2 linked regions of the Callithrix jacchus genome follow. The protein of the gene in region 1 interacts with the protein of each later gene in a pairwise test. Links are inferred from orthologs where the notes say so. Each region holds a gene or a part of one and is shown in the gene's direction. Other genes may lie near its edges.

The links.
Region 2: the proteins of TEX11 (region 1) and CCDC198 interact in binary tests that used the Homo sapiens proteins (3 or more experiments, as listed by UniProt). The two-hybrid records come from large-scale screens. The link is inferred for Callithrix jacchus from reciprocal best matches to the Homo sapiens genes TEX11 and CCDC198.

What each region holds. Positions count from the first base shown.
Region 1 is NC_133524.1:67,900,985-67,904,804, reverse strand, and holds part of TEX11 (testis-expressed protein 11), read left to right. Parts: intron 1-1,506; coding exon 1,507-1,547; intron 1,548-2,872; coding exon 2,873-2,959; intron 2,960-3,820. UniProt on the Homo sapiens protein: Regulator of crossing-over during meiosis. Involved in initiation and/or maintenance of chromosome synapsis and formation of crossovers.
Region 2 is NC_133509.1:92,134,894-92,139,490, reverse strand, and holds the start of CCDC198 (factor associated with metabolism and energy), read left to right. Parts: upstream 1-1,501; 5' UTR 1,502-1,640; coding exon 1,641-1,863; intron 1,864-4,336; coding exon 4,337-4,419; intron 4,420-4,597. UniProt on the Homo sapiens protein: May be involved in tuning the metabolism, energy expenditure, and excretion processes.

The sequences.
Region 1 (3,820 bases):
CCAAGTGATCCACACACCTCAGCCTCCAGAGTAGCTGGAACTGCAGGCGTGTGTAACCATTCCTGGCTAATTTTTTAATTTTCTGTAGAAATGGGGTATCACTATGTTTCCCAGACTAGTCTCAAACTCCTGGATTCAAGCAATCTTGCCATCTTGACCACCAGAATGCTAGGATTACAGGTATGAGCCACTGCACCTGGCTGAGAAGCATTCTTTAGTCCTATAGTTGTTAGGTCTTGGTCTTTTAGCGGATGTGAACTTGACAAGTGCTTCTCAGGTGTTTTTCTCCACCATTAGATGGGACAGGATGGCTAGAGTAGACTGAATGTGAGTATTTCCCTTCTCCCAGATCAGTTTGGCTCTGGTATACCCCAGAAGGTCAGGCTGTGGTTAAGCAATTTCTCTTGGGGGCAAGACTTGTTAAGAACAGAGTACTCTGGCATGTTTTAAAGTATTTTGTTTTCTCTGCCCCCTGCAAGATGCATAAAGAGATTTTGCTTCAATATTCACTGAATATCTAACCAAGTTCCTGGAGGCAAAACTCACAAAATTGTGGAGGCCCCTCTATCACTGGGTTCTCCTGAGTCTTTTAACTCAGACTTGTCCACACTGAGCCTCCAGTGATTTTTCAGTTATGCTTCAAGTTTTCCTACTCTGGCATTGGTTCCCATGGTGGTTTCCACTTTTGAATCTCTGCTCTAGTAAGCTGTGACTCCCTATCTTTGCCTGTCTCTCTAATCTTTGTGGCAGCAGTTTTCCCTTTTTCCTCACCTCTCTTATAGGTCTAAGACGAGTTAATGACTTTTCAGTGTGTTCAGCTTTTTACTTGTTAGGACAGAGTGGCAACTTCCAAGCTCCTTACATGCACAACTAGAAGCCAGAAGTTTTTTGTTAAATTAAAGAAGTTTGACAGAGGGGTCAAGAGACCTGGGTCTACCCTTTTTTCTTCATCTTTAAAATGATGTGTCTATACAAGATAAGTAGTTTTCTAAACTGCATTCCTAAGAACCCTGAAAATTTCGTGGCATTGCCTCAAGGACTTCCAGGAATGTGAAGCTCCAAGCCTCCACCCACTCCTTGTTCAACCATAGCAGCTCAACTTTTATCTTTAATCTTTTCATGTATATTAGACTTCTATACAATTTTATTTGAAATAGGGTTCTAGTTCCCCCTCTTCAGAAAAAGCTTATAAATCACAGAGATCACCACCTGCTCTCAAGTATTATGACCCTACAATATAAAATCTTGTCAGTTGTTGAAATCTTTTGCTAAGAGTATATGAAGAAGTAGAAGAGAAAAAAAAATATGAGGGCACTGGGAATGAGTAACTGTACCCTACAGTGAGGAAGAAGATTGTTGAAATGATAGATTGAAGTCCTGAGTAAAAAGCTTCACAATTTTGCATTTTCTTAGCTCAATTCTCAGGTACAAATAGTGTCCCTTTTTAGTTAGGTTTTATAGTAAAGATTTGGAACAGTTGGAAAATATTCTTTTCTTTATTTTTAGAATGAAAGAAATGGATCGACTTTTGACTTGCCTGAATAGAGGTAAATAGCTCCATGGTTATATTCAGTCCTTCATCTTGCCTCCATTCTCTATTGAATTCTCCAAGTACACTGAGCACACGGACTTTAACCTTATGTTTGAGTTAAGCTTCATGCTTCTTATTAATGTTTGCTACAGGAGTCTATTTTGGTTTCTTCATTCACAAGCAGAGAAAAAAAAGTGTGTCATCATTAGCATTCATCTCCAAATGTGATTTCAGCTCTGTTTTAATTCCTATTTGTTTTAAGGACATCTCCTTCCCTCCCTCCCTCCCGTCCTCCCGTCCTCCCATTCTTTTTTCCTTCCTTTTGTCCTTCCCCTTCCCTCCCTCCTTTCCTTCTCTCCCTTCCTCCTTTCTCACCCTCTTTGTCCCTCCACCTTTCTTTTCTAGTAGCCACTTGATCCTAATCTAAGAAGTGAACAGGTGAAAAAGGATCAAGACAAATAAAAATACCCTGAACCCTGCTGGTTTTCCATACCCTCTGAATCAAATTCAGATTGTATAGTCTCTTATTTTGAAGCTCTCCACCCAAGTCTGTACCATCTGCCTTATCTACTAATAATTTTTCCCTGTCCACTTTATTCAAGCTAATCTCCTAGCTATATAACATTTCTTTTTCCAACTACATGCCTTCTTACATGGCATCCCTTTTAACAGATCTCCCATTTTTACTGTCCATGTACCTCTTTCCTTATGTCCAAACACACCAAAAAAGTTCATATCTTAGAAATTCTATCCTGCTTATTCCAGTATCTCAATTTTATACCTCAAATGCCTGTCAACAGGGTATTAAACATAGCAAAGTAGTTTAGAAACCAAACCACTTCTTTTCAAAAGAGAAAAACTTTGTTGGATGGCATTCTTATTTCTCAGAAGGACATCGGGTATGTAATAAATGCTTTCTGATAATGATAACATGTTCTGGTTCTGTCCTGAGCTTGCTGGTTCAGTAAATATTATGTCAGTGTATTGATACTCTTCCAATTCTCAGTCCTCTAGTTCAGTCTTTTAAACAATTGTTTCTGTTCTTTATTTCCTCACATGTAAATCATATCTTTCCACCTCAGGTGGTGAATGATTGCACTGATTAAAATTATAAATCTCTCCAAAGACATGTTTGTTCCCAGAGTTTGAATTAACAACTTCTTGGAACTCAGTAATGCTTTTTGTCATTTTAATTACTTTTGGTGTGCACCCACACACATACACACAAAAAAGAACTTTCTAAATTCAAACTCCTGTAAGACTGTTCTTAAAGCAGGATTAAAGAACTTTGCTAGAGTATAAGATAAAACTCTCAGTATCAAATTTTCCTGTTTGATGCAGCCTTTGTGAAACTTTCTCAGCCTAATGGTGAAGAAGCCTTCAGTTTGGAGTCAAGAGCTAATGAAGCTCAGTGGTTTCGAAAAATGGGTAAGAGGAAATTCTTTGGCTATGGGAAACATTGTGGGGGGGTGGAATCAGACAGATGTGATTTCAAAATCTGGATCTTTCATTTGTAACTGTGGGTACAGTGATAACTTGCTTAATCTGTTTCATTACTTTATAAAATGGAAATAATTATATATACTTCATATAGTTATTAAGGGTTTTAAATGAAACAGCATATGTACTTGGTATCATAGTAGATTCTCAATGGACATTAGTTGTCTTCCTTTTCTATAGGAATGAGTCTAAGATTACACTAATGAATAAACTATAACTACAGGTCCCCAAGGTTGTACTCCTGAACTTGGTTTGAAATACTTAATTTATTTCTAAATGTGATTGACCAAAAATAAACTATATACAACAATGTGGATGAATCACATAATGTTGAGCAAAAGAAGCCAGACATTGAAGAATACATATTGCATTGTTCATTTTATTTATAATTTTAAAAACAGGCAAAACTAATATATGGTGTTAGAAGTCAGGATAGTGGTTATCCTAGAAAAGGAGTTGGACTTGTAAGTTGTAGGAGCTTCAGGGTTTCTGGTAATGTTCAAGATCTTTCTTGATCTGGGTGCCAGATGCGTGAATATTTCCACTTTGTGAAAATTCAGTAAGCTGTACAATTATGAGTTGTGTAATATACTTTATAATGGCTCTATTTCAATAAAAGTGATTTTAAAACTTGTGGAGGCGGCCAGGCACAGTGGTTCACACCTGTGATCCCAGCACTTTGGGAGGCCGAGGCTGGCATATCATGAGGTCAGGAGTTTGAGACCAGCCTGGCTAATATGGTGAAATCCCATCTCTACAAAAATACAAAAATTAACCAGGCATGGTGGC
Region 2 (4,597 bases), on another chromosome or scaffold:
AATGTCTAGTTCATTTGTTAGCTCGCAATACATTTCCCTGCCCTTAGAAATACTTAAATAGGTAGTACCCCAAAATGAATCTTACTAGATCTGGTTCAAGTATTTTTATCTTTCTAATTAAACTAGTCTGTAGTTACCAGAGGTGGTTTTGTTTGCAGATACTGTTAATATATTAGTCTTTACTTATAAATCTCTCTGCTGCAGAGAAAATGATATAGAAACTGCAAAGAGAGTAAGTAGGAAAAAACTAAACTCAGGCATCTTTTTAGATAAATGCTATTGTCTATCAAGACTTACCAAACGCCACATTAGTCCTTAGGAAATGGATTGTGCAAATATGAAAAATAAATTTTCTTTTAATTTCTCTATGGAGATGTAATGAAAACACAAGTAATCTGTGGTCATGAACAATTAGAACTTGAAAGTTAGTCCCCCTTCTAAGTATAAAGAAAGTATAAAATAAAAATCACCCACAATCCCACCATTCAAAAATCACTACTCAATATTTCAGCACATTTCCTTCCAATCTTTTTTTCTATTTTAAAAATCATAATAGGCCAGGCACGGTGACTCATGCCTGTGATCCCAGCACTTTGGGAGGCTAAAGTAGGCAGATCACTTGAGGTCAGGAGTTTGAGATCATCCTGGCTAACATGGTGAAACCCCTTCTCTACTAAAAATAGAAAAATTAGCCAGGTGTGGTGGTAGCAGGTGCCTGTAATCCCAGCTTGAGTGACTGACTCAGGAGAATCAATTGAACTGGAGAGGTGGAAGTTGAGGTGAGCTAATATTCTGCCACTGCTCTCCAGCCTGGGTGACGGAGAGAGACTCTGTCTCAAAAATAAATCACTTAATTTAATTTAATTTAAAAACATAGTAAATAGGCTATCTTTAAAAACTCAAGGTTTACTTAGACCATTTATTAAAGAAGTTTGTCCCCTCATCCCCAGGAAAAAATTTTCTATTATCCTCCTGACCTGCAATGCATTCATCCCCTTCAAAGGCAACTCATCAACAGAAAAATCAAATGACACTTTAGCCACTCAGCTGCTTTCCTTCATATTTGAAGCATAAATCATTTAATTAAAATTAAAGATTAACAAAGCCTTGGTCATTGGCATGCATCCTCTTAATTCCAAAGATGGCTTAGCTATTCTTAGCTGTCAGTTTTTTACAAAGGTATTTGCAATGAAAGGGTCAACTTTAGACTTCTCTAAACCTCTGCTCTACCTCTCTCTCTCTCTCTCTCTCTCTCTCTCTCTCTCTCTCTCTCTTTCTTTCTCTGTTAATAACCTTCCTGGTGTTAGACTGGTGTTAGATATTTGTTTAATAATCAATAGTGGCTTCTTTTCCTATCATTGAGTATTTCAGAAAGTAGCATAACCAAGTCAATGTTTAACTGGATTCTTTGGGTCTGAAGTGGCAAAGTTGAAGGAAGTCTCCATGGAAACCAGCCTCCCAGGAAGTGGCCAGAAGGGTTAGTGTGCAGTGATATAGAGCTAGAAGGATGCCTGCTAGAAGGAAATGACTGCTTTGTAAAGCCAGGGTAAACTTCTGAAATGCCTTGATTAAAACAAGCTATATTAAAGACCCCAAAACCACTTCAGTCGCAGCTTTCCTCTGAATGTCTTTCACATGAAATGGGCCTGAGTCGCTCTAAGGCTCACCCTAGGGTGATCAAAGTAGCACCTTTGCAAAACAAAGAGGGAGAGACTCCCTCGGCTGGCCCTGTGGACTTTGCATTCAATCAGAATTTGGAAGAAAAGACTTCATATTTGCCGGCAAGACTGCAGGACCAGAATAAAGCTTCGGAAGGGCAGCTGCCACCTTTACAAGAAACCTCGTATGGAAGATATTCTGCAGGTAAACATAAAACCCAGCACGAGATGTGTGCATCTGGATCAAGGAGCATTATTAATAGATTTATCTGACTGTCTCCATGATCTCAAAAAGTTCCGAAATTACTGAAATGTAAAGGAATTTAGGCTATCTTTGAAAACTCAAACAGATCTTTCAATGAAGATTAAATGTCAATTGAAAGTATTCTGGGTACATTAGAGTGGGAGTATAAACTGCACAAAGGGCTTTTCACTGTTCTATATGAGAAGGAAAAATCATTTCCTTTCAGCTCAGTTTGTAATGCTTTCAATGTTTATACCTAGCTTTGCCAGACGATTAAAATTATATAGATACTAATGTGATAAACGATAGCAATCACGTTTCAGTTAGATTCTAAATTTAAATCATTCTCTCCAGTACAGTTTAATGCACCAGGCTTTGTGGTTTTCAAAACAGCACTTTAGGAGTGAAGTCATTCTAACGTGAATTTTGAAACCATCCTAAACAGAATTGATTTATTGCAGTCCAGAGGAGTGGATGAGTCACCCTTTCCCAGCCCCACATTCTTCATGGTCGTCTGCAGAACGAACAGAATTCTTTAACATTATGATTGGAAGCTCTAAGCCTGAAGTGGCTATAAATTATCCTGGGATATTTTATAAGCCATGTAAAATATTTTATGATGGCCACAATGATAATTAAACAGATATTCTCACTTAGAAAGAGAAATATATGTTTATAATATACACATACGTATACATGTATATTGTTTTCCCTTTTCTTCACCTTCTGGATCATTAACGCCAAGAAGTTTCCCTTATTGGAAGCCTTGTTCAGAAAGCCTCACTTTTTCTTTTGGTACCTAGTAAATCTTGCCTGGAATGATTTTTTATGGCTACTGTCTGGAGAACTGATAACCTTTGGTTGGTTCCATATGACCTATTTTTATGTTCTTTATACTCTCCAAGTTCTTAAGCACATGGATGGGAATTTTCCTCTTAAAATTTTTTAATGGTAGATAGATATATAGGTGATTAGACATGATTTTAAAAATGGAGCATGAATGTGTAATAAGAGTATGCAATGCTCCTCTTGAAGAATTCCTTTTTTATTCAAACTCCCTTCCAGAGTTTTAAGATTTTGGTAACAGAGACTCTTTTTAAAAAAAAAAAAAAAGATTTTGGTAACTGAATAAATGGTGAAAGCTGATTCATGTGCTTTAGAGTCCTAACTGGAAAATGTGCTTATGTTTGAAATGACAAAATCACATTAAATATAAATAACCAGGAGATCATGAGGATTCTGATAAGTATTTTCCATATTCTTACCCCAGCTCCATCAAATACCAAATCGTATGACCTTGGGCAAGTTACTTCATCAATTTTTTTCACTTGTAATCAAGGGTAAAAATAAATGCCTGACATAGCCTATGCCATTTGAGGAGAATCTAATTAAATAATGAAATAATATCACTAAGATCATAAAACAAAATAAGTAGTAGGAAGCTTCTGAAAAAAAAATAGCTGAAAATACTTACATTTTTAAATCCAATATGTTTGTTGTTCTTTCTGTCCTGCTCAGTACACTGGCATCTTTTCAAAAGAAAATAAGGACATGGTTTCCATCCCACTAAAAGTTAGAACAAAGTTCCTAAAATGGTCATTCACATGTCTTAAGGATAGAGATGCATAATTACTCAGGGATTTTTTCATTTTAAATGCAAAGTGGGACTGTAAAATAGTCTACGAAACAATCTAGAAATCAGACTGTGCCCAGATTGTTAAAAGGGAAGGACAAGAATTTCATTCATGCAGCGTTGGTCATGGTAGCACTCCCAAGAGCTCAGGATAATCAAGCTGGAAAATAAAATCCATATGGACCTGTTGAGCCTCTCTGTTTCCTAATAGAGGCTTAACTCTGTATTCCCGGCTTGTTTTATCAGGAAAGAATATTGCTATGTTGTATTATAGTAGCAACCTGTGGACATTTCTTTCCTAGTTAAAAGGACTATTTGATTGTGATTACACATAATCCATTTCTTTCTCATCTTTGTGTAATCACCTATCATCTATTTTATCTGAGAAGATTATTTTCATTTTTTAAAGTTACATGTTTTTTCTGATGTCTTATATTTTGGGGAGGAGATTTTATGGAATTAAAACAAGTCAGTAAATGTCTGTTTACCAGACCAAATTCTGTTTGAAAAATACTTGCAGTCAACATATTGGTAATTTTGTAACTCTTTCCCTGCATATGAACCTGAGTAGGAAGTTAAGAGAGCAGAAATTGAATCCTGGGTCTAGACTAAAATAGTGTCATTTGGACTAATGTGGGTTCCCTGCTTTCTGTGTTTCATCTCCACATTCAACCCATGTTAGATATAAATAACTGAAAAGGTACAAAATTGTGTTGACAAACTCTAGTAACCAATGATTGCCTGGTGTAATTGTAAATTATATTTAATGATTTACTCTTTTTTATTCTCCAATCCTTCAAGCTTCCAGAGATGTGTATTTTGACATCCCATTGGAACACAAAGAAACAAGTATTATTAAAAGGCATCCACCCCAAAGACTGCAAGTAAGATGAATTTAAAAGGCTTCATAAGGAATTTCTTGGATATAATGGTAACATCCCTTTTTAAACTGTAATCATCAAAGAGAGATATTGATAATGACCAGGCTATTAATGAGAATGTTCTTAAAGAAAATGTCATCATTTGCAAAGATGATGCTACTTTAAGATTTCCTTTAGCAAT